Alligator mississippiensis: one gene and its partners. The protein of the gene in region 1 purifies or fractionates together with the protein of each later gene. This does not show direct contact. Links are inferred from orthologs where the notes say so. Each region holds a gene or a part of one and is shown on either strand. Other genes may lie near its edges.

Region 1 (7,227 bases):
GGCAGGCAGCCAGGGGCAGATAAACATGAATTTTCTATATTTTTTAGGGGCCCCGCAGGCCGGATACAATAGCCTGGCAGGCCACATCCAGCCCGTGGGCTGCATTTTGCCCACCCCTGGTTTAGCATGTGGCCCACACGCTCCTGCCTGGCCGCTACTCCAGTCCCTGCTCTGGCAACAATGGCGGGGATCTATAGACTCTCCATCCCTCCTCCGACTTCTGGTTCCTGCCCCCCAACCCTCCCTCCCACACCTGCTCTTGGGGGCTGTGCAGCACAGCAAGGGCCAGGCTGTGTGCTTGGGGAAAAAAAAGAAGCCAGGCTGCCCACACTGTGTGCTACCCCCACATCATGTGTGGCTGGGAGAGGGGTTTGCACATGTGATGGGGGGAAGGGGAGGGAAGTCAGTTCAGCTGTGTGGCAGGTAGCTCCTCCAGCACCAGGGTCCGGGGCCTGTGCTGCATGTGGTCCCTGGCTACCCAGAAGCTGGATGACTGCCCTATTTGTTGCCCAAGTGATGTTGGGGCAGGCTGCTCCTGAAGAGAGCGGCATAATGGGAGTCGAAAGGGGAGTGGTGCGGGTGGCAAGAGAGCTCTCTCCAGTGCTGGGAAGAGAAACCCTTGGAGAGAATTGCTCCTTACCAGATGGGAGCCCCTTTTCTTTATTTAGGGATAAGGATCAGGGTTAGCCCATTAAGTACTGGAAGGAAAGTAAAATTGCTCTCCCCAGATGATATGGGCTGTCAAGCCTGAGTTGACCCCTCCTATGCCACAGGCCTTGAAAGGGGAAGCTCAGACACCCTTGTCTGTTGTGAGGGATGGGACTGAGGCCCTCACATACTCCAGTGAAAGACTGGTTTTCAGAGAAACACATCTCTGCCCCAGAGACAGGGATGCGGAACAGCCTTCCCAACCTTCCACAGATGGGGCTGTGGAAGGGGGCTTCAGGGGAGTGGGCACTTAACCAGAAAACCAGAGATTTGCTTCCTGCTCTTAATTCTGCCTCTGCTGTGAGCAAGCTGATGCTTCAATTTCCCCTCCCTCCCTTTGCCTGGGCTTTTATGCAGTACCCAGCACAATGGCGCCCTGCCCTCAGGTGGGGTCTCTAGGCATTAATATCATCACACAGATAGAAAGCAACTTACCATTCATGCCAAAAGCACTAAGGATCTGTCCCATGATCTCAGATAGGATGATCAGCCCTGCAGAGATGCCATTGGAGACAATCCAGAACATGGCAGAGATGGTCTGCAGGGAAGAGAGAAATTTCAGTCCCTGCCATGTGTTCAAAGACACCAGTGGGGAGAAGGGAGACAAGACCACTTGCGTATGAGGTTTCAGGGGCCATGAGAGAGCTCTGATAGGAACCAATGCCTGGCTGGGTGCAAATAGCCCTCGCTGGTTGTAGGTGCAGCAGGAACCCACTAGACATAACTTACAGCAACCCCAAAGATGCTTTAACTCCCCCCCCACAGGGGCTGAGATGGCTTTGTACTAGGAAAAGTACAATAGTGGCCTCAAGTCTCCCCATCCCTACCTTTTGGATTTGGTGCCCAGCTCAGCTGCAATTCAGCTCAGATGGATAAGCTGTGTAACCAGTCCACCTAACAGATGGCAGAAACACCCCAACCAGAAACCAATACTGCCAGCTTCAGAGCCAGCTGGTTGGTGCTTCTTTCAACACAGTGTATGCAGACCAAACCATGGTGTATCTATCAATGAAACCAATATAAGTTGTCACATATGCATGCTCCAGCAGGGAGACCACTGTAGCAAAGCCATTGTAACCCTATCCCTGCATCCCACAGGATTCAAGTTACAACAATTTAGTTCCCTACAGAATCATGCAGACACAACAGTTATGCTGTCACAGCTGACATAAGCTGCAGAGCGGAACAACTCCTCCCCTTTTAAAACGGTTGACAGTTAAATCTGTCCACAGCCTGAGAAGTGGGTAGCTTCCTGAAGAGGTAAATCTGTGCTGAAAGCTTGTTCCCATGGGGCCAGAGTACTGTTCAGCCATCCAGCTGGCTCCATCGTCAAGGAGCTCTGCCTGAAATAAGCAGCTGATGCTTCTATCTTCTAGCCTGTCACAACAATATCTGAATGTCTATTATTCTTAGTTTTACCTAGGGAAAATGGAGGCAGTTTCAAACCAGACTCCTTTGAGAACTAAATGACCTGCCAGAAGTCAAGCAGGAAGCTGGCAGCAGATAAAGGCTTTACCCTGGGTCTCCCAAATCTCAGGCTCGGTGCCTAACCCACCAGACTACCTAGCCTCTCTACTCCTGACTTGTGCCCTTCACGGCCCCTATTAAATGAAGCCTTATGCCCCTGCTGGAGGGTGGGGGTGGGTGTGTAACTGTTACTTGCCCAGGAGATAAGCTAGCTAAGAAGCTGCAGGAGCTCATTACAGACAGAACTACAACTGGAACCCAGAGGTCTAACAACAGCGCCACATCTCAGTCACTTGGGCACATGCTGCCTTTTTTCAGAGCAGATACCTGGAGCTAAAGTGACTCAAACCTCCCTCGGTAGCAGGAGGCTTAGGGAAGCAAGGACTGGCCAGCACAAGCTGCATAAGAAATTTCAGATCAATAACTTTGCTCAATGTTAACCTTGATATATGTAGCACCCAGCTTTTATCTGGTGCTTTTAAGCCATAGCCTCAACATGCTCCACAAGGGAAGTTGGCATTATCCCCATCTTACAGATGGGGAAACTGAGGCAGGGGAAGGCAAACTGACCTGCCCAAGGTCACTCAGCAGGCCAATGACAAAACTGGAAACCATGTCTCCAGAGTCACAGTCCAAAGCTCAAACTGGACTCTCTCACTGGAGCTCTTTGAACAACTTTGGCAAAGCTTAATAGCTATTTCTCTAACACCGGCAGAGGGGGGCAAACTTTGTGCACAGAGACCTTCACCTCCACCCTCTTCCAGCCCCTTTGGAATTCCAGCCTTACCTCAGCCACCATCTGAACAGCCTCCTGCCCAATCATCTCCTCCAGGGTCTCCTTCATGGCCTGACCCAAATGGGACAAGAAGTCAGTGTGGACGGGTGCTTCTTTCCAAAGCTTGCCAGACCGGTTCTGAGCGCTGGCCACATGAAGGAAAGCGGCTGACATCAGGAGAGCAACAGCTGGTCGGAGCAGAAGCTGGCGGCAGCTCCAGGACCTGCAATCCCTTCCCGCCATCTCTCCAGCTCTTCTCTCTACACCAAGAAGCCCTGCTGAAGGAAATGAGAGAGGAGAGATGAGTAAAGTCACAGACAGTAACAAAGCTGTAGAAACCCAGGATCCTCCTGTCCTGGGGTCAGAGCTATCCTGCCCATGGGGAGGGCCACCCTGGACTGCCAAGAGGGCAAATGCACTCCCCGCAGTACCAGCATGCTCCCTTGTCAACTGAGGATCCTCCACGGGCCACTCTCTCATTACTGGCGCTTGGGCCTGTCTCCGCTCCCAACCTTTTGTGTTTCCCAACGACTGGCGACCGGAGGCAGCTCCTTGCGCTGTTCCCCAGCAGCCGGCTGCTCAGGCTGACTGAACCTGGGTCTAAGAGCAGGCACCCGCACCCACGCCACCGGCCCTTCGTTTGAGAAGAATCCCAGGAGCCAGGGGCCAAAGGTCAAGTCTGCCTCACTCCCACTTTGGGCAGTGACCTCAGTGTGGGGCCTGCAGAGATGGAAAGGACAGCTGGGCCCCCCGCAGCAGGTGGGGGGGTGACACACAATCCCTCTCCCACACGCCCTGCTCAGGCCTGCCCCTGGCGCAGTCCCAGAAGCCGACACTGGGGGGAGGCGGGGTGGAGAGAGATGCTTGGGCGCCAGTGCTGGGCGGGAGGGCGGCACCATGCGGGCCCCCTCTGCCACTGCCTGCTGTCCCCACACCCCAGCAAGCCCAAGGACGGGGTTGGGGGCGGGAGCAGGGCCTCGGCCCAGCCACGCGGGGACCGGGGGGGGAAAGCACACGCCCCCCCTTGAGAGCTCACCCCAGCGCGGGCGGGAGTAGGGGCGGGGCTGGGCTGAGGGGGCGTGGCTTTCTCAGCGGTTGGAGCTCACCCCTCACCCATGCGGTGCACGCTGGGAGCTGTAGTCCTTCAGGGAGGCAGTGACGTGAGGGGGGAAATTCGCCCAGTGAATTCTGGGAATGACGGTTGTGGGTCGGAAGCCGCCTCGCGCGCGGGGCATGACGGGAGCAACAGGTCCCACGAGGGTCTCTTAGGCGCCGCGGGCGCTCGGTTGCCACGGCAACGCGCCGCCGCCCGGGGCATGCCGGGAAGGGAGGCTGTGCTCGGTGGGATTCGCGGCCTGGCAGGCGGAACTGGTACACTGGTCCCACAGGTCGCTGGCCGCCAGTGGCAGCTCCCCGCTCCGCCTCGGGGCGGGCCCCCCAAACACATTCGCAGACGGAAGTGGTCGGCGCGGCCCTGCCGCGGGGCTTGGTGGGAGGACCAGAGCGAGAGGGACCGTCCCCCTGTCCCCGCGTCCCCCTCGTGGGCCTGGCACACACGCGCCAGAAGCAGAACCCCGTGACCCGGAAGCAGAAACCGGAGCCAGAGCGAGGCGGGCTCGGGACCAGCAGCCGCCATGGCCCTGATCTGCTCGAGTGAGTGCGGTGCGGCGCGGGGGAGCGAGCGCGGCCCCGTTCCCTAAGCGCTCCGGCCGGAGGCGCTGCCACCTTTCCCGCGCTGGAGGCTGCGGCGCGCAGCCCCCCGGGGGCGGCCGCGGGGCGGGTCGGGGTGGGGAGCGGGGCCGCCCCGCAGCCAGCGGCCTGCTTCTGGGCACCGCTGTCAGCAGGTCCCGGGGGCGGCTGCGCCCCGAGCAGGGAGAGGCGAAGCCCCTGCAGCCCGTGTCAGGCCGGAGCCGGGGGAACGGGTCTTCCCGAGCCCAGATGTGGGGATGGTCTGATCCTGAGCGCGGGGCCATGGCCCCCCTGGCCAGGAGCCTCCGGTCTTGGTCCCAGCAGGCGCACTGACACAGCCCAACCCTGGGACAACCCAGAGAGTTCAAATACAAATCTGTAGTGTACTTCTAGAGGGTTGAACCAAATCCTGCCCTTAATGTCCCCCCCACTCCTCCCCCAGCCCCCTGGGGGTCAGCCAGAGAGAGTGCAGCGAAGGGCAGTGAAAACCCGTGGCAGGGCTGGGGCATGTGACTTGTGAGGAGCTGAGGGAACTGGGTTTATTTCATCTAGAGAAGAGGAGACTAAGAGGGGATTTAATAGCAGCCTTTAACTACCTGAAGGAGGGTTCGAAAGAGGATGGAGCTAGGCTGTTCTCAGTGGTGACAGATGACAGAACAAGGAGCAATGATCTCAAGTTGCAGCAAGGGAAGTTTAGCTTAGGTATTAGGAAAAACTTTCTCACTAGGAAGGTAGTAAAGCACTGGAACAGGTTACCCAGAGATGTGGTGGAAGCCCCATCCTTGTAGGTTTTTAAGACCTGGCTAGAGAAAGCCTTGGCTGGGATGATCTAGTTGGGGATGGTCCTGCTTTGAGCAGAGGTTGGACGAGATGACCTCCTGACGTCCCTTCCAACACTCACTTTCTGTGATTCTGTCATTTTGCCCTAGGGTGAAGGTTCAGCTCATTGACCGCTCCTTTGATGTGGAAACAGTCGGGGTTGAAGTTTGGGATGTGTGGCAGTTTCCACCCTAGTTCTTTGTTCAGCTTCAGACACCCTTCCCAGATGTTCCCTCCCCTGGCCTAACATTTTTCAGCATTAGCTTGAGATCAAAAGTTAATTTTTAAGCAATACGTGATCAACATTGTCTTAGCTCAGGTATGAAAGTGCCAGAAAAACAGCTTACTTAGGGCCCTCCTACACATTCCAATTAAAGCTGGAAAGAAATCAGCTATAGAGTTGTTATAACTTTTCAAGAACTTTATGGCTGGTCTAAATGGGTTGTGCGATTAAACAGTTAATTGTGTAAATATATGTAACATGTAGCAGGGGCTACAGGAATCTGATACATTTTCCATCTTACTGTGACTTTTCCTGCTGATGGGATAGGAGAATGTCTCTGGGCATGCAGACGAGCCTCTGAACTAGTGGCTCGTGTGCATTTGTATTGTGCAGTGATTCTCAATTAGGGTGCTGTGCAACCCTGGGTTGCCATGAGTCATTGGTGTAGTGTGTTACCACTGGGGATGTGGTTTATGATTAGGGCCCCTAGGTGTGTCAGTAGTATCAATAATGATGAGGGGGTTGACATACACACCTGCCATTTGGCAAGGCACTTGGAGTCCTTCCTGGTTGGGCAGGAACAGTGTGTGTAAGTGCTGATAAAGGTACCACAGTTCCCCTGTGGTGGGTGCAGACTCCAAGGGCTCCATTGGCAGGATATTGAGGGCAAAGTGATGTACATTGCTGAGCCCAAGAGGTTACTTGTTAATTATGTAGATATGTATGTATACACATGCATGTATGTACCTACACACATCTCCCCTGCCCCCCCATATTTTTCCATAGTGAAGCTCCAAGCTCAGCAGACAGACCCCTTCTCTCTCATAGAGATGCACTAAGGGTAGGAGAAAGAGATGCTCAGCTCTTATATGATACCTGTCAATGGATCTTGCATAGCTTTACACAGAAGGGCAGTACTGTTATCCCTCTCTTACTGGCGGCGGAGTCTGAGGCACCGAGAGAGGAACGACTTGTACAGGGTCACCTGGCAGTGGCCTATAGAAGAGCTCGGATTATGACCAGCTCTTTGAAGGAGTGCTAGTTAGTGCTAGGCCATACTGCCTTCCTGGTCAGGCTCAGAAACGCAGGGTTTTCTTTGCCAGACCTGTGACTAGGTAGAATCCCAGGTACTTTGCTAGCCCCAGGACTCAGAATTGAAACCAGGTCGTCATGGAAAGCTGCTCCTACCAGTCCTTGAGGCTGGACAAAATTTCAGAAAACTTCCCCAATAGCTCTTCCTGTTCTAACCCTGAGTACTGTACTGAAGGTTTCTTGAATACAAGATAAGTCCTTTTTTTTTTTTTGTACCACATTAAGTAAACCATTTACCACTATCCTGGGCACATCTCTTAGTAATATTAGTAGGACAGGCAAACTGCTGTTGCGATCTATGGTACAGACAACACAGCAGCAGAGATCAATATGTGTGGCATTTTAGGCTCACTTGAATTAGCTTCAGCATTAACTGTCTCACCCTCTAAAGAAAGCCAAGCTGGTGGTTTGAAAGAAAATGAAGAGGCCAGTGTTTCTCTAACTGGGATATATG
Region 2 (7,162 bases), on another chromosome or scaffold:
GTTCTCAGCTTTCAAATCCTGCAGTGTAGATTTCAGTGCAGAGACATCTTTTCTGTTAGATTTATTCTAGCAGAGAGAAAAGATGAAGACATATGCTGTCATATGTAAATAATGCTAGGTCCAACACTGGACTGGGAAGCCAAGAACATGATACCCAGCTTTAAAAAATGGAACCAAGCAAAGTGCAAACTTATGATTCCCCCAAGATACCAGTTTCCTTTCCCCTACTATTAACGAAAGGGCAGGAAATACAACCCTAATGCTCATACTGAGCACTGATGCATCATCATTGGGAAAGTATCAATCAGTCTTAGTGGCCCCACCTCAGTAAAGCATCACAGGGATTGAAAGAACCCAAAGAGGAACTACAGAGTTACTAAGAGACCTGGTGAGGAGTCCCATCTGAAGTGAGCTGGGAAATACTAGGACTATTTCTCCTGAAAAAAAAGAAGCCTTCCAGGGCGCGTGACTGAGGTAGAATGTTAGGTTACAAAAGGGACAGCAATTAGGGCCTCCTGTTAACATTGCCTCATAACATGGGAAAAGGGTCACCTGAAGAAAGTAATGGAAGGTAAATTTTAAACAAACAAAATGTCGTACTTATTATGCATTGTGTAGATAGCCTGTAGAATTCCCTGATGCAGGGAGCCAAAAGTTAAATATAGTATTTGGTTTAAAAAAAAAAGGACAGGCTAATTTTCATACATTAATACCATTTTAGCTAATTCTGAAGATTGGATGAGGGTAAAGCTCATCTTGTGCTTCAGTGTTAATTGATCAATGAAGGTTCAGTCATGAATGCCACCCTATTCAAGCTGGTCTACTGGTCAGACATTTTTTCAGCCATCTGTGTAACAGCAGGGCTTGACTATTGTCAGAGACAGCATATCAGATTTGAGAGAGCAGTGGTTTGGCTAAATATAGCAATATCCTATGTAAGGGTTGACCCTACCTCACCCACAGACTCTTGATAGAAGGCTCCCAGTTTCAGCATGCTGTTCCAGTACTTCCTCACAGTCAGCCCAACGGACATGCAGGGTCCCACTGCCTGAAGAGGAGGCACGGCTTGTTCATCAATAAGATTTTCTGCATAGCCAGTGAAGCTCTGAAGCAGCAACAGCAGCCTTTGACAGAAAAGAAATCCAGCTTAGAGCTGTATAAACATGAACACGGAGAAAGGGCCTTTCCATGCAGGTTGCTACAACCTTGCAAATCTAGAGAGGTATGTTCAGATTTGCATATGCAAAGCATCAAAGCAAGTGATAGAGATAGCATCAATGGGCAACATATGCCCATTCTTCCTGGGCCTTTTGAGACTGGAAACCATGTAGAGGGGAACAGTTGTGCAACGCTCCTTCTCAATTCTGAATCACTCTAGGCAGCAACATGCATCAGGGTTGAGGTCCTCTCCAAAGGCACCGGATCAAAGCAATGTTTTCTTTGAGATGGGATACATGGAGGTAGTCCCTGGTTTGGCCCTGTACCTAGGCCTCCCAGCTGTGTGGGGGTGACTCATAAATGAGCTCTCATTAAAACTATTACAGGCTCTGGGAAGGCCAAACTGTTAGGGCCAGGCTTTTAGAAACAGCAGTGGGATTAATAAGATTTGTGTTCTAATTTTGGTTCTATCAAACTCTATGAGACTTTAGGTAAGTCAGTTAACGTGTGCGTTGGCTTCCCAATTTGCAGAGCAAAGATAACAATGTCTATTCCACAAAAGGTAGGGATGATTAGTTAAAGTTTATAACTTACTTTGAACAAATGTAAGTCACAGAAATGCAAACCATTCATATAACCATGTTAAATTTGTGCTCTCAATTTGCAATAAATACATGTGAATGTTAAAAGAATGCTAAGGTAACAAAGTCAGGCAATGCCAGAATTAAGGATGCCCATGTAGCCTTAAATGAACTCACTTGCATCTATGCATTATGATATCATCCTCAATTACACAACTACATATTATTTTTTATTAAAGGATGCTTGCCTCATTCAGCACACAGGCTGACTGGTGCTTCACTAAGGAGTAAGCTTTCTGTTTTTTCCTCATAATTCAGTGTGTGGTCTCAAGCCTTATCTACTGAACAGTATCCAAACACTGTTCTAAAGACCAAATGGTTACTTTTCTTCTAGGCACTGCTTACTGAAGTACCTGATCCTTTCCATAAACGATTTTCCCTACCTCCATCACTAATCACTACACAGCACATGAGGCAGGAGTCCTACAGACAGCAATCTTCTTTGCTACACAACCCTGATTCTCCTACAGGATAGGTCTATCCTGGGTACTGAATGAGGCATGTAATCTGGTAACTCCGAGAGGAAGGTGCATGCTCGGTTGCTCTGTGGAAATGGCAAATCCACAATCTGGTCAGCACAAGAAGCTGAGTTAAACTGGAGCCGGCTCAGTAAGACTGAACTTTTCAGGGTTTTTACTGTCACCTGAGGATAAAGATGAGATTCTGCTTTACTTTGTGTACCTGAATGGCAGCTCTCCAGCATGTCAGTGACCTTTTAAGCACTTATATACAGTTACCACTTGCTAGACAATTTCCCTTATCCAGTCAACTATTAGGACTAAACCATGGGAAGGTCCTGCTTCCTCCTGATTTTTTTCTAAAGCTAGTGCTCAGGTACAGGCATACAGTCATAAATCTGCCAGCTTATTTTTAGACTACTGAGCATGCTCAGCTTAGTCGCACACACTTGCATGCCCACACTGCAGAAAAGAGAATTGCAAACTGCATAAGTGCCTAAGAGGCCATTTACACAGCTGGAAAACTGCAAAACAGGCTAAGGGAACTGGGTTTATTTACTCTGCAGCAGAGAAGACTGAGAGGGGATTTAATAGTAGCCTTCAACTACCTGAAGGGAGGTTTGAAAGAGGATGGAGCTGGACTGTTCTCAGTGGTGGCAGACGACAGAACACGGAGCAACTAAATAAGCCCAGTTCCCTCAGCCTCTCCTCATAAATTATGTGCCCCAACCCCCAAAACCATTTCCATTGCTCTCTGCTGGACTCTCCAACTTGTCCGCATCCTTGCTGTACTGGGGGGCCAAAACTGGACACAGTATTCCAGACGTGGCCTCACCAGCGCAGAACAGAGAGGACACTTCTTAGGGCTTTATAGCCTTACAGCCCAAAGAGGCCGTTTACAGCAAGCACCACAAGTGTCATGCCTGTCCGAGGCCCAGAATCTTTCCAAACTTGGTCACTTGGCCACATCTGGGCAGGGTCTCTCAGGAAAAGCAAAGGCGCCTCCTTGCAGAGTCCCACTTCAAAGCCCCGAGGTTTTAGCACTTCTTAAAGAAGAAGCTGGGGGATGGCCTCGATGCTTTTTTTCACAGCTTTGCTCTTGGAGCAGAAACTCTGGGTACAAGTTGTAGCCGAGGCTGGGCCTGGCGCGGGAACCGGCCGGGACTGACGGCGCTTGGCAACCGCGTTACCGGGACACAGGCAACATCTCGGAGGAGCGGCAGCCTCTCCCCAGCAACGCTGCCCAGGCCCGGTTTGTGCCTGCACCCGCTGCTTCGGGGCGCCCGGAGCTGAGAGCCTGCAGCTTAACTAGGCCCCCACGCAGTGCCCCCCACAAAGCCGCGGCTGCCGGGCGGGGACGCCGGGGCTCGGGCCGCTGTGCGGAGCCGGGCGGGAGCCCCCGTCCTCTCTCCCCCACCTGTCGATCACCAGCTCCAGAAGCGCCACGTGGGAGCGGCGCGTGAGCTCGGCGTCGCCCTCCACGTAGTCGTAGCGCTGCAGCAGCGCCACCACGTCCAGCTCGCACGACAGCCGGTCGGGGAACTTCCAGGAGCGGCAGCGTGCGGGCCCAGCCCGGCCGCACACGTCGGCGATGGCGCCCTGCAGGTCCGTCACGTCCCGCCGCAGGCTCTCCACGCACATGTGCCCGCCCGCCGGCCCCGCCATCGGGCCTGGGGTCGCCCGCGTCACCCGCTACCCCGGCAACCGCGCGGCCCCGCCCCGGGCAGAACCATCCTCCCGAGGGGAGGCTCGGAGGGCCCTGAAGCAGCTCCCGCAATAGAACGCTCCAAATCCCGCCCCCTGCTCTCCCCGGAACGTCACCCCCACCTCACCCTCTTCCACGGGGCTGCGCGCGCATCTCCTGCGCTGGTTGGGCTGCGTGCGCATCCTTCGGGGCTGCCGCCATCTTGTGCGCGGTGGTGCGGGCCTGGGTGCGCGTAGTTGTGTCCGCGCTTTTCGGGTCGAGTCGAGGCCCGGTGGGGCCCTGAGGAGGCACCATGCCGGCCGGACCCGTGCAGGCTCTTCCGCCGGCGCAGCCCTCGCCCCCAGAGGGCAAACAGGTACCGGCGCGAGGCGGGGGCTGGGCCTCCCCAGGGAGTCCGCAGCGCTCGAGGGGCGCTCCCAGCATGCAGCGGGGGCAGAGGGGGAGGGGAGGGTGCACCGCTGGCTCACGAGAGGCCTGAGCCCTGCTGAGAGCTCCTCGCACATCCCGGGCTGAGCCTGGTGCCTGACCCCCTCGTCCTTGCCTCCAGCCCTCTCCCGCCTCTATTTATACGGTTTTTAACTCATTTTTGCTGGTGCCAGGCTTTTACAAACAGTCGTGGGATTTAATAAGATTCGTGTTCTGGTTTTGGTTCTGTCAAACTCTGACTATGATCAGGTCACTAGATGTCTGTTCCAGTGCAGAGCACAGGGTTGTTGCCTCAAAGCTGCATGTTACCCGTGGAGATCCCGAGCCACTGAAGTGCAGCGGCTCACAGAAACAGGGCGTGATGCCTGTGTGAGATGGGTCATGAAGAATAATTACATATTAACTAGGGATGCTGGTTGTAGCTGTGTCGGTCTAAGGACATAGGCAGACAAGGCTCTTTGAGGAGATGCAATCTCTTTTATTAGACCAACTGAGTAGTTGGAGCAAAGTTCTTATCAAGCTTTCGGGCACAGTCACTCTTCTTCAGGCGTAGAGACCCCAAGAAATGAGAGAAGCTAAAAGTGTGGCGGGATGTCAGTGAGAATGTAAATAGGTAGAAATTAGAAAGACAGAAGGTAAAGCAGAGAGGGGAGGGGGAAGAGAGCAGGGGGGAAAGGCTAAAGGGAGACATTACAGTGATACAGGCTACAAGATGAGAAAGAGGCTGTCAGTGAAAAAGACAATAGTTGGAGATCAGGAAAACAGGAATGAGAGAAGCTCAAAGTGTGCGAGGATGTAGCAAAAATGTAAATAGGTAGAAAGCAGAAACAGGAGATAAAGCAGGGGAGGGATGGGGAAGAAAGCAGAGAAGAAAAGGCCAAAGGGAAACATTACAGAGATAATAATACAGGGCAAGAAAGAGTCTCTCGATGAAGAAGGAAATAGTAGGAAATCAGGGAGACAACAGGCAGAAAAGAAGGGGAGGGGAGAAAAAGTGGGGGAAGAGAAGAATATAAGAGGTAAGGTCAGGCAAGTACCTGGTGAATCAGATGTCAGGCAGGTTGTAATGTGTCATAAATTCAGCGTTTATATTGAGTCCGTGATTTTTTGTATCCAGTAGATTTATGAAGCAAAGTTCACAGGCTCATCTACAGAAGGTGTTTTGTAAGTTCCCTTTGAGGATTAGAACTGAGAGATGGGAGAGGGAGTGATTCTTCCTGTGAGAAGTGTGCCCCCGCAGGTAGTTGGGCATTCTTGTCTTTGATAGATTTTCAGTTCATTCTGGTGCACAGTTTGGTTTCTCTTACATATTTTCCATCAGGGCATCTGGTGCATTGGATGAGATGTATAACATTTCTGGAGGTACAGATATAAGATCTAGGAATGGTGATGGTTCTGTTGTGGGGTGTAGTTATTGTGGGAGTGTAGGAGATGTGTTGGCAGGTTTTGCATTTTTTGTTCTTCATCAGCGACTTGAACGAGGGGGTAAAAACACCCTGTTCAAATTCGCAGACAACACTAAGATGTGGGGGGAAGTGGGCATGCTAGAAAGGAGGAATAGCCTACAGTCGGACCTACCTAGACAGGTTACAGGGGTGGGCAGATGAGAACAGGATGGGTTTCAACACTGACAGGTGCAAGGTACTGCACCTGGGGGGAAGAACCAGCAGCACACCTACAGGCTGGGGAACTCCCTTCCTGTCGGAGCAGAGGCAGAAAAGGATCTTGGAATCATTATTGATGCCAAAATGAACAGGACCTGCCTTTGATGAACCTGTGCTGATTGCCCCTGAGCATGATCTCCCCTGCAGGCCCCCCACAGATGTGCTCCTTGATGATTCTCTCCAAGATCTGCCCGAGCACCGAAGTGAGGCTTACAGGCCTATAGTTACTTGGGTCCTCCTTCCTTCCCTTCTTGAAAATTGGGACCACATTAGCCAGTTTCCAATCCCCTGGCAAAAATGCAATCTATCTCTCTGGAGGAGTGTCCTTGTTGGTTGAAGGACCTTTTGAGATTTGTGAGGTGGTGGTCACAGGTATTTTCCTCACTGCAAATTCAGTGGCATCGGAGAGCTTGGCTATGTATTACAGCTTTCTTGGTGTGTTTAGGGTTATTGCTGGTTCTGTGTAGATATGTATGTTGGTCTGTGGGTTTCTTATACATGGTGATTTGAATTTTACCATCTTGGATATCAATTGTGGTGTCCAAAAAGGAAATGCTGGTTTTGGAGTATTCAAGCAATAGTCTACGGGGAGGGGTGATGATTGTTGAATCATTGTGGCTATGGGGTGGGCTATAGCCACCCCTCCCAGCACCGCCCACCCTGAACACAGCCCTGGCCCAGCATCTGGGGGGCACATACTCCCCATGCCTCCCCTGGGGTGTATGCAGCGGCAGGGAGCTGCACATCCCCTCACGCCCCCTCCCTGCACCTGCCAGACGAGCTGCCCTTAGCTTCTTCCCATTTCCGGCCCCAGGGTTTGCCTTGTACCTTCCCCTGCCCCAATCCCTCCCTCACTGTCAGGACCTTGGTCTGCCCTGCCCTCCACCACTTTTATCTCCCCCTGCCCCTCCACCGACTTACCAGCTGGACGCTGCTTGCCAGGCTGCATTCCTGGCCATGTGCATGCTGTGGCTGCACACATAGACGCAGCATTTATTAGCAACATCAGCTACACTGGCCAGAAAAAGCTGATTACTGATTAATGTTAATTTTCCTTTTATCGGTGTCGATCCGCGATGTGACTGATATATGCTAATTGCAGGTTCTATA
Region 3 (7,904 bases), on another chromosome or scaffold:
ACACCAGCCAGGACTGAGTGGTCCATCCTATGGCGTAAATGGCTCATCCTTTGCAGTCTCCATGGACAATGTGCTATGGACCATCTCTCCTAGTCAGAGCTGGCAACATCCCACATCTGCTCTTCCACCTCTATGGAGTGGATTTGGGGCTCTGTGACTTTACACTCACACAGGTAGATAACTAGACCTTTTCTCTCCAAAGCAAAGGCGTTTAATGTCCCCCTTTGTGCTCCCCCAACCCTGGTCCCTCCAAGCTCAGCTGCTACTTTTACTTCCCCTTGGCCCAGCCCAAGTAGATGGTGCTACTGGAGAGCAAGGGGGAGCCAGCATCTGTCCAGCCCAGCCCAGCCCAGCCCATACTCCTCAAATCCTCAGTCTGACTCGGAAATCTCTTGCTCCTGAAGGCAGGAGGAAGTGGGTGGGGAGCAGCCTCAAATGGCAGAAACTGGGTTCCATTGACAGCATGTCTCAAAAACAAAAAATAACCCTCTGCTGACGAGTGATCTGAGCAAGCATGAGATGCAAGGGAGGAATCAACAGGGAGTCCACAGAGGCTGCTTTCCTGGCTGGTGGTTCAAGGTAAGTGGTATCTGAGGTTCGGTGCTACCTCTCTAATGAGAGATTTTTAAGAATCTCTTGCCCCGTAAAACTGAAGGAGCTGATTTTTTTTCTTCGCCCCCTGCTGAATCTGTCTGGTCTGCTGGTCAGATCTGCGCTGAGGCACTTCTAAGGTGGATTTTAACCCAGCAGAGTGCAACAGCTCAGCCAGGCCCGTTCTCACCACTGGTGTGCAACACCATCTTAGTGCATGTACCTTATTTACCCACCTACCACACTCACCTCCGTCCCTTAAAATTAGCAAGTGAAAATTGGGGTGCAGACCTTAAAGGAAGAAATGGATTCTGAGCCATTCAGTTAAAAGGAAAAATCCTTTTTCTTCTTCAATCTGCCTCTGCAAAACAAAGTGCAGGTCTTAGCTGGGGGGATGTGTGAAAACATAGAGTAATGCTGACCAGGTACTAATAATATTTAGGATGTTACTTTCCAAAGCACTTTGCAAACACAAGCCACCTTTCTGTCTGGCTGCAAGACTGGGAAGTGTTACCTTCTCTGGTTTTGAGGTGGGGGAAAGATAAAGGGTTTCTCTTCCTTGCAGAGGAGATACACATCCAAGCTAGCTTTAAACTAGCTGGCTGGGGTACTAGGAGGGGTTATTTGGAGGTAGGTAGCTTGCACTGAGCTCTTTACCTTCACAAACTATGAGAAATGCCCATGCTTGCTAGTTTAAAGCTAGGCTGTGGTAGACTCACAGAATAGCCATACCCTGAGACCCAGAGAAATGCAGCAACTTCTACCCCACCGCGGCAAAGTTAGCACTGAGGAATCCTGGCTCTCCATCCTGTTCTCAGACCTCTCTCCCCTTTTAAAAAACTGCTTTTAAAATAAAGGAACATTCACCCCAGAAGACCTAGTCTGTTGCATTTCAGGCCTTACTGAATTTTTTACAGCCCATTTATAAAAGCCCATAATAACAGGGTCTGTCATTAAAAAGCCGCTGGATTATTAACGGGATATCAATCAGATTCGTTTCCCAGCTGCTGGCTCTTGCTGTGTCCCCACCACCCCCTCCTTTCCCTCCCTCCTTCGCAGCCACAAATGGATGCACATTTTGGGTTCATTTACATTTTAATAGCTAACAGTTCTAGCCCCACAAGTGCTGACCCACCTCTGCACTTATGACTCAGATTTGGATGCGTGATGGGGTCAGGGGTCCCTGAGAATTGTAGAGATCCTGATTTAAACTAGTGGAGTCTATGACAATGACTAAAGGCCAACTGGAGATGATTTGAAGGCTCTGATGTTTTTTATCTTTCATTGCTCCAGGGTGGTTCAGGACCCAGAAGCATCAGGATATGGTAGGAGAGGCTGTTTCATAGTATCCCTGCTGAATCTCAGGGCTGAGCCCAAGGTGAGACATCTAACCTGATTTTTGCTGACAGCTGGGCAACAGGGTGCTGAGTTGAACTGAAGCTAAACTAAGATTCCCCCGGTGCTTTTAATGAGGTGGGACTGGGGACTCCTAAAATCCCAGAGGATTTTAACCGGACCTCACTTCACTAGCTACCATTTTCCCTGTGCTGTGATAGGTGGTGCTGAGCCTGGGGACTCCTTCACTTCCACTGTTCTGTGAATAAACAGGGCACTTCGCTCCCCAGGCGCCTCTCAGTCCCGAGCCTTGGCCCTCAGGAAGGGCTTTGTGCTACACCAGTGCTCTAGAGGATGACGGCTTTCCCCATTTATTAATCGGATATTGATTGATCTCGGGGAGTATGTCACCAGCATTGGTCTCATGGCATCCTAGTCTTGCTGGTAACCTCCCCCTGACAGATACATTAAATACTGGCTTGGTAGAGTGGGTCTGATGAACAGGCAGTGGCAGATAATGTGACCTCTCCGTGCTGCTCAGCAGATGCGCCTTTTATGAGAGATCTCAAAACACTTTACAGAGGGCAGTGAATGAGGCTTTCCAGCCCCCAGGTAGGGTTAGGGTTATTTGACCTTGTTTTCCTGTAGGGATACAGAGCACCAGGGAGATGACATGCCTTCAGGGCCAGAGCTGGGAAGGGAACTCAGAAGCCCCAACTGCAAACCCTGCCCTGATCATAAATGCTCCTTGACAGAGTGATTATCTAACCTGCCTTTTATAGTGCATTTACTTGTGCCTGCTGCCCCGTGTCTTCAACAAGCAGAACGCTCTTTGCTCCCCAGCTCAGCAGAGAATCACGCTGTACCGACGTCTGACTTTTGGCAGAACTCCTGAGGGGAAATAAATAAACCTCGTCTGGCATCTTGCGTGCGCTTCTCTTTCATTTGCTCAAAGTCACATCTAATCTGTCCTACCTGGTTGCCCAGTGCATTCACCTTCCTGTCACTTCCTGGCTCCCTCTGTTTTCATCTCTGGGGCACTGCTGGCTAATTCATGTGTCATGCCGTGACCCGGTCACTGAAATGTAGGTGGCTCCCTGGATCACTCATCGGGAGGAGTTTGATTCAACTGCCCTGCCCCTTGACACACAAAAATGATCCAATGCCAGGACAAATTGGGACACCCATGCCACCTGCAGGACCTCCTGCACGGAGGTGCAGACTATGCTGAAATATGGGATTGGCTTGATGGTGTAATCCCACACTGGTGTGCAAATATCAGTCTCTCACTGCTGTAAAGATCTGGGCTGGTTTCAACAGGCTTGGCTGGCCTGCCACATTTGGAACAGGCTATTGAGGGAGGTGGCAAAATCTCCATCCTTGGATGTTTCCAAGAACAGGTTAGACGGGGCCGATCCTGCCTTGAGCAGGGGGCTGCGGCCTCCTCGGGGCCCTGCCAGCCTGACTCTTCCACGATTTCCCCCTAGCGGGTATTTCCCTTAAAGCCCCAGCTCCCGGAGCCAGGGGATCATGCCATGCTGCAATCTTCTCTGCTTCTGCTTAAACAGCAATGGGGATCTAGCCCGGGGGGATGAAGGAAATGACACAAAGGTGGAATCAGAGCATGGTATGGGAAACAGACAGCCCCCCGAAAAACGGGCAGCCCAGCTGGTTGCTTCGGGGCCAGGCTCGTGACGGCGGAGCGCTTGGGCCTGGCCAGGCTGCTCTCGTTTCAGCAAGGGCGGGGGGCATCGCCCTGGTCCCTGCCTGCAGAGGAAGGGGGCGCCGTGCAGGCAGTGCCCAAGGGGGGCAGTGGGTGCTTGACATGGGCCGAGGCAGCACCCCCTGCGCCACCCCCTCCTCTTACCCCAGTGCCCCCAGGCTCCCACACGCTCCTTTTGCCCCCTGCCCCCTCCTCTTTCCCCAGTGCCCCCACCCCCCCTTTTATCCCCCTGATATTGCCCCAGTGCCCACCCCCTCCTTTTACCCCCAGCCCTTCCTCTTGCTCCAAGTACCCCCACTCCTCCTCTTACCCGCCCCCGCCCTAGACTCCCCCCTCCCAGAACCCCGTGGGCCCGGTTGCCATGGCGCCCGGAAGTGGGCGGGACGGCGCGACTTCCGCTTCCGGTGGCGGCGCCTGTGACCCCGGTGGACCTTGGGGGGCGCGAGACGGGGTGAGCGTGGTCCCCCCGAGACACCTCCCCGCAAAGGGGCAGTGCCCCCAGCCCTGCAGCAGCCCCGGGGCGGCAGGGCGCAGGAGGCGGGGGTGAGGGGGGGCGCTGGGCGCAGGCAGGGGCAATGGAGGTGCATGAGCGGGAGCGGCCAGCTCATTGCAGGGCGGCTCCCCGCTGGCGAGGCCACACACATCTGGAGCCCGGGGTCCAGTTTTGGGAGGGATGTGGACCCGTGGGAGAGAGTGCAGCGGAGGGCAAGGAAAGTGTCTGTGGGGCTGGGGGACAGGACTGGTGAGGAGAGGCTGAGGGACCTGGGCTGATTTAGTCTGGAGAAGAGGAGACTGAGGAGGTTGAACAGCAGCCTTCAGCTCCCTGCAGGGGGTTGCAAAGAGGACGGAGCTGGGCTGGTCTCAGTGGGGGCAGGCGGCAGACAAAGAGCGATGGGCTCCGGTCGCAGCAGGGGGAGTCAAGGTTGGATATTAGGACAAAGTTTCTCCCGAGGAGGGCGGTGAAGCGCTGGACCGGGTTCCCCCCGGGGGTGTTGGAGTCTCCGTCTTTGGAGGTTTTTAAAGCCTGGTTCGAACAAAGCTTTGCCTGGGATGATGTAGTTGGGGCTGGTCCTGCTTGGAGCAGGGCGTTGGACTAGATGTGACCTCCCGAGCTCCCGTCCCACCCTCATTGTCTAAGAGTCTAAGTCTGTGGCTTTCTTTCCCCACCTTTCTAGGTCCCCGCTTGTGGTGCAGTGGAGACCAGTCACGATCCGGTGCCTCCTGAGCCTCAGCCTCCACAGCCGCCATGGCGAGTCACCTGAAATTCATTGCCCGGACAGTGATGGTGCAGAACAAGGATGTGGAGGCGGCATATAGGTCACTGAACAAGTAAGAGGCAGTGGCCGCCTTTGCTGGGCCCTGTTGGCAGCTGTGTTTTAACAGGGAGCCGAAGGATTCCTCCCTGAACCCCCTCTGCTGGTACTTGAGCTGCAGCTTGGATTTCATGTCATGCTCTTAAAGCAAAGAATCCCCCCCTAGAGCAGTGGAGTTAGAAGGGAGCTCCAGGGGTCACATCTAGTCCTGAGGCAGGATCAGTCCTGTCCCAGCCATTCTATACAATCCATCATCTAAACTCTACGTAAGGCTACTGTCAGCCCTGGCACAACACAGACCTAACCCCCTATGTATGAACCAGTCATGTTCTTGGCACTCGTGCAGGCAGGGGGGTTTTGTTAGTGTGTCGCACCATCAGTCTTGTGTTCTAGTGGTTAGCCCAGTAGATTCGGGATTGGGACACTGGATTCTTTTCTTCCTTCTATATGACGAAGGAGACGAGGACACAGGGAAGTCAGAGGGGCCATTTTTCAAAAGTTGATGAGTCTGGGTTGTCTGTTCCCCTCTATGCGTCACCCGGAGGGGATCAAGAGAAACCTGGCTGGGTTTAGCAGGGTTCAGTCTAGTGAGGTTAGACAAAGAGACCACATTCTGGCTTGCTTTTACTATGATCTGTGATTACCCTCTGAAGAAAATTGGCTTCTGATCATGACAGGCCCTCCAAGCTCAGCAAAGAACTCCCTGTGACCCCAAAGCAATAAAACTGAGCTTCAGCGAAATGAAGCCCAGCGAATCTGAGCTCAGAATGGATGTAGAAGCAACCACGGTCTCACAGCTTCACCCAGCATTGCCCGTCTTCCCAGTGGGTGTTGTCAGGTCACAGCAATGAGGATCTGAACCATTCATAAATTCAGACGCTAACTTTTAAATGTATCGGTCACATTTCAGGGGTGGAAAAAATAATGTTCATGTTACATTTCAAGGGTGGAAAAGGTAATGTTCATATCTAACAGCTACACTGTATTGCTCTGATTATAAATTGGCCTCTGAAGGACCCTACTACAATTGGCACTTGGTTTATTTGCAGTCTCTGGCTGTATCCAGGCTTCTCAGCCTGGTCTGATTTTTTTTCTTTTCCTTGTAGTATTTTTGTGCAGTAAAAAAAACAAAAACAAGTCAGAATTATTGTTTCCAGTGCAGTTTTCGTTTTGGTGTATTTAGTGCATTTAACCTTTTGGGTCCTTTCTGCTGCAGTTTGAGTCTCCTTTGGCATTTTGTAGGGGCAGCAGCAATTCAAGGTTTGTTTTTTTTATCTGTAGTTACGGATTTTTATTCAGGGGAAAAGCTGTTTTACCTAATACTGTATTTGTTTGCATGCTGCACATGTCCTTTTCCCAAGAAGCAGCTCTCCAAAAGCGGAGTGGGTGTCTTAAGAAGGGAAGCTGGTTTCTGTGTCAGAATAGAAGCATGGAGACACTGTAATGGTTGCTGGAGCTCTGCTTCTTTCTCTGGTGTCACAGTTAATTTTAACTAAGCTGCCAGAAGCTGCTGCTAATTCAGTAGCAGGTGCAAGAAGATTAAAAATGTAGCTGTGGCTGAGCAGTGATGTTCAGGATTCAGCCCTGACTCTGGAAGCACCTTTTTTCCCCTTAATTCAGCCTTAAGATGCATGTCTGATTTGGGGGTGGGGTGTGATTTGTGAGGAAATACAGTATTGTACAATGTGCAATGTCTCCTCATAATCAAGACAGTACTGGAGGTCTGCAATAGGATGACTCCCTTTGGCAATCAGTTGAGGGGAACATTAGAAACATAGCTTCATAGTCATTAGGGGTTGGAAGGGAACTTACAGATCATCGGGTCCAGCCCCTTAGGCAGTTAAGACTGCTGGAATCGGATACCCCAGCAAGGTGTGTGTCAAGATGTATTTTGAAGATTGCAAGGGTGGGTTACTACACCACCTCTGGAGGGAGCCTGTTCCAAACCCTCGGCACCCGACTTGTAAAGAAGTTTTTCCTTATGTGTAGACTGAAGCGATCTTCAATCAGTTTGTGCCCATTATTTCTTGTCCTCTCCTGGGGGACCTTGGTGAATAGTTGCTCCCCCAGGCACTGATGTTCTCCCCTGATATACCTATAGGCTGCCACCAAGTCCCCTCTGAGTCTTCTCTTCTCCAGGCTGAACAGCCCCAAGTCTTTCAGCCTCTACTCGTATGACCTGGTCTCTAGGCCTCTAATTATGCACATGGCTCTCCTTTGGACTCTCAGGGTTCTCCACTTCCTTCCTGGAGTGCGGCGCCCAGACCTGGACGCAGTACACCAGCTGTGGTCTCACCAAGGCTGAGTAGAGCAGGAGGATGACATCCTTTGCCCTGCTCAAGATGCCTCAGTAGATGTATGCCAGTGTTTGATTAGCTCTGCTAGCTACAGCATCGCATTTGTGGCTTGTGTTCATTTTGTTGTCTACCATAACATCCAGGTCTCATTCAGTTGTGGTACTGGCAAGCATAGCACTGCCAAGTCTGTAAGTGTGCTGGGGATTATTTCTCCATAGATGGAGCACTTTACATTTCTCTGTATTGAATGTCATCACGTTGATGTCCACCCACCTCATAAGCCTGTCCAGGGTGACCTGTATTGCAGGTCATTAAAAGGAAGAGGCAAGGGGAGTTGCTTAGAGCAGTACAAGCTGTTCTCACTGGAAAGGAAGGGGTGGGAATGACTGGACGAACTCCAGCTGAATAGCAGGAAGTGTTTCCTAATGCTGAGATCTTGGCTTGCAGGTTCAGGTACTGTCGTCACTTGAAATTAATGAGGTCAGTGCGCTGGAAAGTAAGCTGTAGGGAATAACCCTGCTCTGGTATGGGGTGGACTTTGAGCCTTCAAGAGTTCCCCTTGTGTCAATAAGAGAAGGTTGATTGGAAGAGAGAGGTGGAATTGGCCTCTCTGTCTCTGTGCCTCAACTTCCCCATCTGTGAAAT
Region 4 (7,925 bases), on another chromosome or scaffold:
AGCAGCATCTGGAGACCTAAGAATAAATCATACCAAACAAACTTGATCTCCTTCTTTGACAAAACAGCTAGCTGGTGGATGAAGGGAGTGCTGTGGACATAACACACCTGGACTTCAGCAAGACCTTTGACAAAGTGCTACATGACCTTCTCATAAGCAAATTGGAGAAATGTGGGGTGGTATAGCTACTACAAGGTGGATGAGCAACTGGCTTAATAGCTGGAAGCAAAGGGTAATTATAAATGGATCCATGGCTGAATGGCAGGAGGTTTTGAGTGGAGTCCCAAAGGGGTCTGTCTTGGACCTGGTGCTGTTCAATGTGTTTAGTAATTATTTGGATCCTGGAATAAAGATATTCTTGAGCAGTTTTGGAAACAATATTGACATTTGCAAACTGGGAAGGATTATAAACACACTGGAGGGCAGGAGTGCAATTCAGAAGGATCTTGACAGACTAGAAAGCTGGGCTAGAGCCAACAGGATGGCCAGTGCTGACAAATGCAAGGTGCTACACCTCACAGAGAGTAATCAAAAACAGATACAAAATGGGTGACACCTGGCTGCATGGCAGCACTAGGAAGAAAGATCTAGTAGTCTTGGTAGATCACAAACTCAACATGAGTCTACAATATGACACGTTAGCTCAAAAAGGATGCTTTAGGCTGCATCAATAGGAGCATTAGGTGCAAGACATGAGGTGATAGCACCTCTTTATGCAGTATAGTTAGGCCTCACGTAGAGTACTTTGTGCCATTTTTGGTTCCATATTTTAAAAAGGACTTGAAGAAGACAGAGAGGGTCCAAAGGTGAGGGACAAAAATGAAGAAGAGCTTGGCAGGCGAGTCACACAAGGAGAGATTGAAAGAAATAGGCATGTTCAGCCCATGGAAAAGGCATATAAGAGGGGACATGATGTCAATCTTAAAATGTCTGAAGGGCTGCCATAAAGAAAAGGAAGAGCACCTCTTCTCTCTTGTTGCAGAGAGCAGGATGTGGATTAATGGCTTGAGGTTGCAGCAAAGTAGATTTAGATTGGATATCATGGGAAACTTCGTCACTGTGAGAACAATAAGGCACTGTCTGGGGAAGCTGTGGAATCTCCATCACTGGAGGTTTTCAAGAAGGGGTTGGATAAGCATTGCTCTGGGATGATCTAGGTATAGCTATATGTGTTCTGTAAATAACAACAGTTGGAAACCCAGGAGCCCTTCCACACAAGATGTCAGGGATCATGAGAAAAGCTGTGCATCCCAGAGCAGTTGGAAATTGAAGAGGACAATGCTCAGCAACTGGAGAAGGTTATGGAGCAGAATGGATGGTATTAGGATGGATGGTAATAGGATTTTACCATGCTTCTAGTCTTTACTGGTTGCCACAGTGGGCCAGAAAGGAATTTTTTCCCACCTGTGCTAGTCGTATGAGATTTTTTTTTCTTTTTATGTCTTCTGCAGAAGCATTGGTGTTGGCTGCAGCCAGGGCTGGGGATTTTAATAGCCCACCAGTGTTCCTTCTGGGACTAAAACTTGGAGGTTCCTGGCTAGAGGGGTCTTGCCATTCTTCTCAGGATCTCACCACATTTGAAAACAGGGAGGACTTTTACCCCATGGTCAAATTGGTACGACCTAAGTGGGGTTTGCCTTCCTCTGTAGCAAAGGGCATGGCCCTCTTCCTTGGATCTCTCAAGTGAATTTTAATAACTCTTCCATTTTGATAACTCCTGTGGACTGACCTGTTCTTGCAGCCCAGCCCAGTCCGACCCAATGAGTCTGAAGTTGTTTCTTTATTACCAGTTCCTTCTTCCCAGTTCCTTTTACAAAACTAATCCTTACACAATTAAAAGTTGTTACTAATGAATTATACAAACTGAAGAGCTAGGATTTAATCAAAAATAAATATTTACTAATTAAAATGTAAAATAATATCATGTATCAAGGACATAGCCTTGAAAAAAGAACTGAGATTACACTGGGATTATGGGCCAAAATCCTTTCTGGGTTACCCCAAATCACATGTCTCGTCAATCACGGTACACTTCTAATAAGTCTGAGTTGCACACTGCCCAACCTAAAGATTGGTATCTGCGTGCTGGGCTGACTACTGACAGCCCCTCAGGCTTCAAGAAGGAGCTGGGTTTGGGCTAGGATTATGAGTGAAAATCCTTTTTGGGTCACCCCAAAACACACCTCTCCAACATCAGGGGACTCTCTCAAAGATGCTGGGCAGGACCCTGCCCAACCTGAAGCTTGGCTCCTTAATAGCAGGCCCCCAGGCCTGGGATTATGTATGGAAATCCTTTTTTGGGTCACCCAAAACCACATGTCTTTGCCATTGTGTGTGGGGGGAGGGGGGGTAAGGCCCATATGTTGCTGTTTTGCCAGGCACTAGATGGAATTAAGAATAGCTGCATACAAATATAGGGGTTTTACACCAACTTTTCAAATTTACCTTGAGCCCCCACCCAGAAACTTGGTTAAATAACTTTGAACTTGGTGTTATAATGTAAACAAACCTGCCCACTCGTAAGCAAATTTAAATTAAAACAGATTTATTACAAGGGAAAAGGGGAGCAATACCTTAACGATTAACCTTTAACTGTAGTTCAGTATTGATCAGTCATAGTCTTGACAACCCAACCTGGGGAGCTACCACCTAGCCGTCCCTGGGGAAGACAGTCTCACCCGGGGCTGCCATCCAGGGACTCTACCACCTGCACCAGCTTAGTAGTAAGTGCTGGGTAGGGAGATCCCCACCAAAGGCCCTGCCATGCTTCTCCTGAGGCTCTACTACATATGCCAGCCAAAGTATCAAGGGCTAGATAGGGAGGCCCGCACAGGAGTTACTTGCGCTCTGATGCTGGAGAGAGGTGTTAGGGTGCAATGCTAGGCAGCACTGCTGTGGATGCCACCTCCAGGGTTCTCCATCACTCCGCCAGGGAGCTCCATCACTGCCAGGGGTCTCTGCCACTCTGCTGGGGTTTCTGTTACTCCTCCAGGCTGCTGGTTTGACGGGCATCCTCTCTGCATATTAATGAGGGGTACGCTGATAAGGGATAGACAAAGTTGTCAGTATGGAACATAACCTTAGTCAAATGTGACGAATATAATCAGAGATACGTGTATATGCAACTATGAATTTTTTAATACATATCACTATGAACATGGAACCTACTTGAATTACTTGCAACATTATTTGACTTCTTGGTTCTGGTTTAAACCATATTAAAAATTACACTTTGGTTTTTCTTCTTCGGTTTTTCATATTAAACATGCAACAGTCTTCTAAGACAGAGCTATAGGCCATTATGAAGATTTTGAGGTAAGCACCTGTCATGTCTTTTCACCATGAACGGGTGAGGTTATTAGTTTCGCAGATCTTTTTTCCTACTTTGTGCCTGTATATTAGTTAAGTAAAATAAAGCACAGTTATGTAAATTGCTTTCTGACAGTGAAGCAAATATTATAAATTTTCTTTCCTTCCTTTTTTTCTCATGGAAATATATGATTTGTATATAAACCCACACCAATTTTTCCAAATGTAATTTCTTTCTGTATTTACTTGAATCCAAGACAAGTTTTTTCCCCTCATTCAACATGGGGAAAAACATGCCTCATCTTGGATCTGAGTACCAGCACTCTGTCTCCAGCTATGTCAAGGACTGGGCAATAGTACAGGTCAGGGATCAGGCAGGGGATGGGGCAGCAGCTTTCATGAGCAGCGCACATGAAGATCAGCTGAGGAATGGGGCAGCTGTGTGGGTGGATCGGGCATCAGCATGTGCATATGATCGGCCAGAAGCAGCATGTGTTGGGAACTGGGCAACAGAACGCATGGGGGCGTTGGGAAGCAGCAGGTGTCATGGGTAGGAGCAGCCGTACACATGGGGAAGTGGGTAGGGTACTGGGCAGTAGTGCGCTTTGGGATTAGGAGGCAGCAGATCTTGGGGCCTGGGCAGCGGCAGAGGTGGAGAACAGCATGTGACGGGGATCAGGCGGCAGGGTGGGTTGGGAATTGGCGGGGGTCAGGTGACTAGGGCCCAGTGGTGAGTTGTGGATCAGGGGACAGGTGGCAGGGGTGCGGGCACGGGGGTCAAGTGGCAGGGGAGCAAGGTGCAGGGGCAGGCTCCGTGCCTCTCCCCCTCCATAGCTGAGGACAGATTTAAAACAACCCTCCAGTAATCAGATTCTATACATGGGAAATGACAGCCAGTTATAGAATGATGATATGTTCTAAATTTCCACATATGGAATTGGCTTACTCGGGGTTAAAGCATCCTACATTCAAAACCATCTTGGATTCAGGCAGATCTGGTATTAATTGCAAAATAAATCATCCTTATCAATGCGTAACATTCCATCCAATAGCCCAACATGGAAGATAGCTGAAAACACCGTATTAGCACAGCTCTTCAGTGGCCACCAGCAGGCAGGCTGGCTCGCAAACCCTGAGCCGTGGGTCGGGCACTGCCCTGGTCAGTTATTGAGACGTGTCCCCTAGCTGCAGAGCCCTGTGGCTCGAGTTGATTCGAAGTATTTTGCCCCATAATCCCAGCCCTTTATTCGAGGGTTTGTACTTGATGCATTACATTTTACATCTTTATTAGTCAATTCGACTTTCTGATAAAACCCCAACTGCGCAGCCCCCCTACTTCGTTGCTCACAACCTCTACCGCTGCAAAGACTAGAGGACGGCCCAGGACCCGAGAAGACCGATCCAAGCATGCAGCGGCGCGGCCCCACGCAGCACCAGCCCCGCCCCGCCCCGCCCCGCCCCCAGCGCCACAGGTGAGCAGGGTTCGGAGCGGCCCCGCCCCCACGCGGAAGTCACCGTTCTACCCCTGTGATGTCACACTTCCGGTTTGAACCCGGACATAGCTGGGAGGTCAGCGCCGTGGGAGCTGATTGGCCGGCACGTTGGCGGAGCGGGAGCGGCGCGCTCGCTGATTGGGTGGCTGCGTGCGGCGCGCCGGCGGGAGCTGCGGGCCGCGCGGCGCTGCGCTGTTGTCCGCCATGTGGACGAGCCACGGTGAGCGCAGCTGGGCCGGGGTGCGGGGCCAGGGGGGCGGGACTGGTGCGGGTGCGGGTCCGGGTCCGGGTCCGGGGTAACGCGGTGCTGCGCTCCTTCCAGCAGGGTCCGAGAGCGGCGGCGGGCTGTCGGCGGGCGGAGGATACGTGCAGTCCCCGGGCGGCTTCGGCTCCCCGGCCGCCACCCAGGACAAGAGACCGGTACGTGCCCCCGCGCGTGCCCGGGCATGGGCCCCCCGCTCCCCGGGCATGTCTGGCAGCTGCCTGCGGCCTTGGCCTGTGCTGCAGGCAGAAGGCTGAGCATTTGAATGCTCCTTAATGCTGCCGTTGCTACTAGCAGGTTTCAGACCTAACTGGGAGCCGTGCGGAGCGTAAACTCACTGGAAAAGCGTTCTTGCCTTACGCGGATTTTTGTCGGAAGACGACCGGGGTTTTGCTCATGTGGTAGCGGTGCCTGTAGCGCCCGTGCCAAGTACATGTTGCATGACAGGAGAGGTCGGTGCGTGGGCTGGTCTGGGTGGCTGTTTCTCTGCATGCAAAGATCAAAATGTGATTCGAAGCGTGAGGAAGATCTTGCGAGCGGTCATCAAGCACCAGGAAATCTAGAGAGGTGCGAGCCCTGTTCCTGGCAGCTCTCGAGCGCAGGTCGGACACAGCGCTTGTCTGGGACGGCGTTGGTAGGGTTTGACAGCTTTGAGGAGGGGGTTGGACCAAATGACCCTTGAGAACCCTTCCAGACTCTTTTTTTTTTTAATGGTTTTGTTTCTCTGAGACTCTCCATTCCCTCTTGCAGAAGTCCCGGTCCCAGAACATCGTGCCGTGTACAGTGTCTCAGTTGTTTTCTGCTCAGCAGGTGGATGAAACGTTCCAGGTCCGAGATGTAGAGATTTCACAGGTAGGAATCGGATCTGGAATGGGAAAAGCTTCAGAATCGACAGGAACCTACATCACAAAGTAACTTTTTTGTCTGCATCTCTTCTAGGTCCTTATCATGGGGCTCATCAGACAGGCAGAGAAAGCACCGACAAACATTCTCTACAAAGTGGATGATATGACTGCAGCCCCTATGGATGTCAGACAGTGGGTTGATACTGATGTAAGCACCAGGTTGAGCTTAGGATTTAAGATAAGGGGGCATTTAAGTATTTAATTTTTATCCGTCTTTTCGGGTCCAAAGAAGTAGTATTTACCTTGTAATGTAATACTAATTCAGCTGAGTACAGGGACTTTTTTAATTGGGCCTCTTATTAAATGAGCATTGGAGAATTCTTTGCCTACCCTGTCAGATAGTCTGCTTTCGTATTCAGCATTTAGTTCCCTTTTTCTAAATGCCATAGGAACTGTGGCATGTCAATACCCTAGTAGAGTCCTTAATAGATAATATGCCTCTTTTGGTACATTCATAATATGACATGCATATACCTAGACAAGCATCACTCTAACTGGAATCCCTGCATTTATGGGGGCTGCTCTTCTATTCTTCACTTCCTCTTCAGTTCTGCAGCATTCCATACGTCTCATTAAAAATGTTGTCCTTTCAATATTTTCAAAGTTATTTCATAACTGAATTGAAGAGGTCGCTGAGTCAAATCCTGTTTTGCCCAAAGATAACTAATTGTTGCTTATACATCCAAATCTAGCTATGGAAGAGATGTTTTGTGCCACTTGTGGACACATCCCAGCACAGGCAATCTGCTTCATTTGGCAACATCTATTTCTAGCCTTAGTTAGAGGGTGCTTTGCTCATTGGCTTAGTGAGATGGGCACTGCCATGGAGGGGTAAGTGCCATAGGTTCTGGTCCCTGTTTCTGTCCCTGGTGGTGTTACTCCATTTTCTTAAATTTAGTAGTTCATGGGTAGAATGGATAGATTGCAGCGCGGGGAGGGGAGGTGTGCAAAATAAGATGCGTCATTAGTTTCCTTGGATTCTCCCACACTGCTATAGTAATGCACATCGCCTTTCCCTAATATTTTAGGGATGTGTAATTGAAAGCTAACAGTCTAACCAAGCTGAGTATATTTGAGTGTGTGTACCATTCCGTTGTAGCACTGTATTGAGATGCCGTGCTTGCTCTGTGCATGCCACCAGGATTTGTCCACCTTTAGCATGGCACTGAGCATATGCTAATAAGTATCTCGGAGGCAGAGCTTATTGATGGAGACACAACACTGTGCTATGGCAGTTATGCTGCTTTGAACTTTGGGTCATGTCCAGATGAGCAAGGGCATGCACTTGCAGCATCACAAATAGTAGTGGCACAAAATTGTGCTGCTACTCTGTGCCACGGTGCACACCCTTACACCTGTGCTTTGTGAGGGACAAATTGTCCCGCTTCAGGCAAACTGCTCTTTCCTAACTCTTCCTGACTCCTGGTGTGCTGGACCAGCTGGGGCACAAATAAAATAGTGGAGATGCTCTAGCCAGCAGCCAAAGCATCTCCCTGAAGGGCCAAGCTTCTGTTTGTTCCAGTGCATGCTGCTATAACGCGTGTCACACCCCTTTTTTTCCGGTGCTGCTTTTTTATTTATTTATTTATTTATTTTTTTGCTACTGGGAAATCCTGGTAGCAAACTTTTGTCCCTCTGCTGCAGATTTACAGCTCAGGGCACATTTTAACCTTCACTGTGTGCGTGGTTTTTGGCACCACAAACCACAGAGGAAATAGGCCCACTGCTTGGCATCATAATTCACCAATATAGACACACTTTGAGACCTTCATTTGCCTGTACTTAAAATTTGCTAACTTCAAAAGGTGTCCTGTACTTGCTCCAAGACAGCTGACCACGCTTGTGGTTATATCATTGTATTTGTAGTAAGATGCTATAATAAAATTTGTTCCTCTTCTGTGGTATGAATTGTGTACATGAGTTAGGGTTATAGTTCTACCCAGTGAACAAACAAAA

What was found.
Region 2: the proteins of PRPF19 (region 1) and SF3A1 fractionate together in Homo sapiens (co-fractionation; 3 studies listed by BioGRID and IntAct, with this or other methods). This does not show direct contact. The link is inferred for Alligator mississippiensis from reciprocal best matches to the Homo sapiens genes PRPF19 and SF3A1.
Region 3: the proteins of PRPF19 (region 1) and PRPF3 fractionate together in Homo sapiens (co-fractionation; 3 studies listed by BioGRID, with this or other methods). This does not show direct contact. The link is inferred for Alligator mississippiensis from reciprocal best matches to the Homo sapiens genes PRPF19 and PRPF3.
Region 4: the proteins of PRPF19 (region 1) and RPA2 purify together in Homo sapiens (affinity purification with western blotting; 4 studies listed by BioGRID, with this or other methods). This does not show direct contact. The link is inferred for Alligator mississippiensis from reciprocal best matches to the Homo sapiens genes PRPF19 and RPA2.

The regions. Positions count from the first base shown.
Region 1 is NC_081825.1:177,221,388-177,228,614, reverse strand, and holds the start of PRPF19 (pre-mRNA-processing factor 19), read left to right. Parts: upstream 1-4,211; 5' UTR 4,212-4,584; coding exon 4,585-4,603; intron 4,604-7,227. Other genes in the region: TMEM109 (transmembrane protein 109), read right to left, coding at 1,144-1,246, 2,963-3,228, 3,382-3,430. UniProt on the Homo sapiens protein: Ubiquitin-protein ligase which is a core component of several complexes mainly involved pre-mRNA splicing and DNA repair. Required for pre-mRNA splicing as component of the spliceosome.
Region 2 is NC_081833.1:27,737,860-27,745,021, reverse strand, and holds the start of SF3A1 (splicing factor 3A subunit 1), read left to right. Parts: upstream 1-4,150; 5' UTR 4,151-4,254; coding exon 4,255-4,317; intron 4,318-7,162. Other genes in the region: CCDC157 (coiled-coil domain-containing protein 157), read right to left, coding at 1-66, 953-1,124, 3,675-3,922. UniProt on the Homo sapiens protein: Component of the 17S U2 SnRNP complex of the spliceosome, a large ribonucleoprotein complex that removes introns from transcribed pre-mRNAs.
Region 3 is NC_081838.1:18,909,146-18,917,049, forward strand, and holds the start of PRPF3 (U4/U6 small nuclear ribonucleoprotein Prp3), read left to right. Parts: upstream 1-4,890; 5' UTR 4,891-4,895; coding exon of another isoform or gene 4,896-4,978; intron 4,979-7,904. Other genes in the region: MRPS21 (small ribosomal subunit protein bS21m), read left to right, coding at 4,896-4,978. UniProt on the Homo sapiens protein: Plays a role in pre-mRNA splicing as component of the U4/U6-U5 tri-snRNP complex that is involved in spliceosome assembly, and as component of the precatalytic spliceosome (spliceosome B complex).
Region 4 is NC_081829.1:16,844,667-16,852,591, reverse strand, and holds the start of RPA2 (replication protein A 32 kDa subunit), read left to right. Parts: upstream 1-4,917; 5' UTR 4,918-5,006; coding exon 5,007-5,022; intron 5,023-5,124; coding exon 5,125-5,222; intron 5,223-5,814; coding exon 5,815-5,916; intron 5,917-6,003; coding exon 6,004-6,117; intron 6,118-7,925. UniProt on the Homo sapiens protein: As part of the heterotrimeric replication protein A complex (RPA/RP-A), binds and stabilizes single-stranded DNA intermediates that form during DNA replication or upon DNA stress.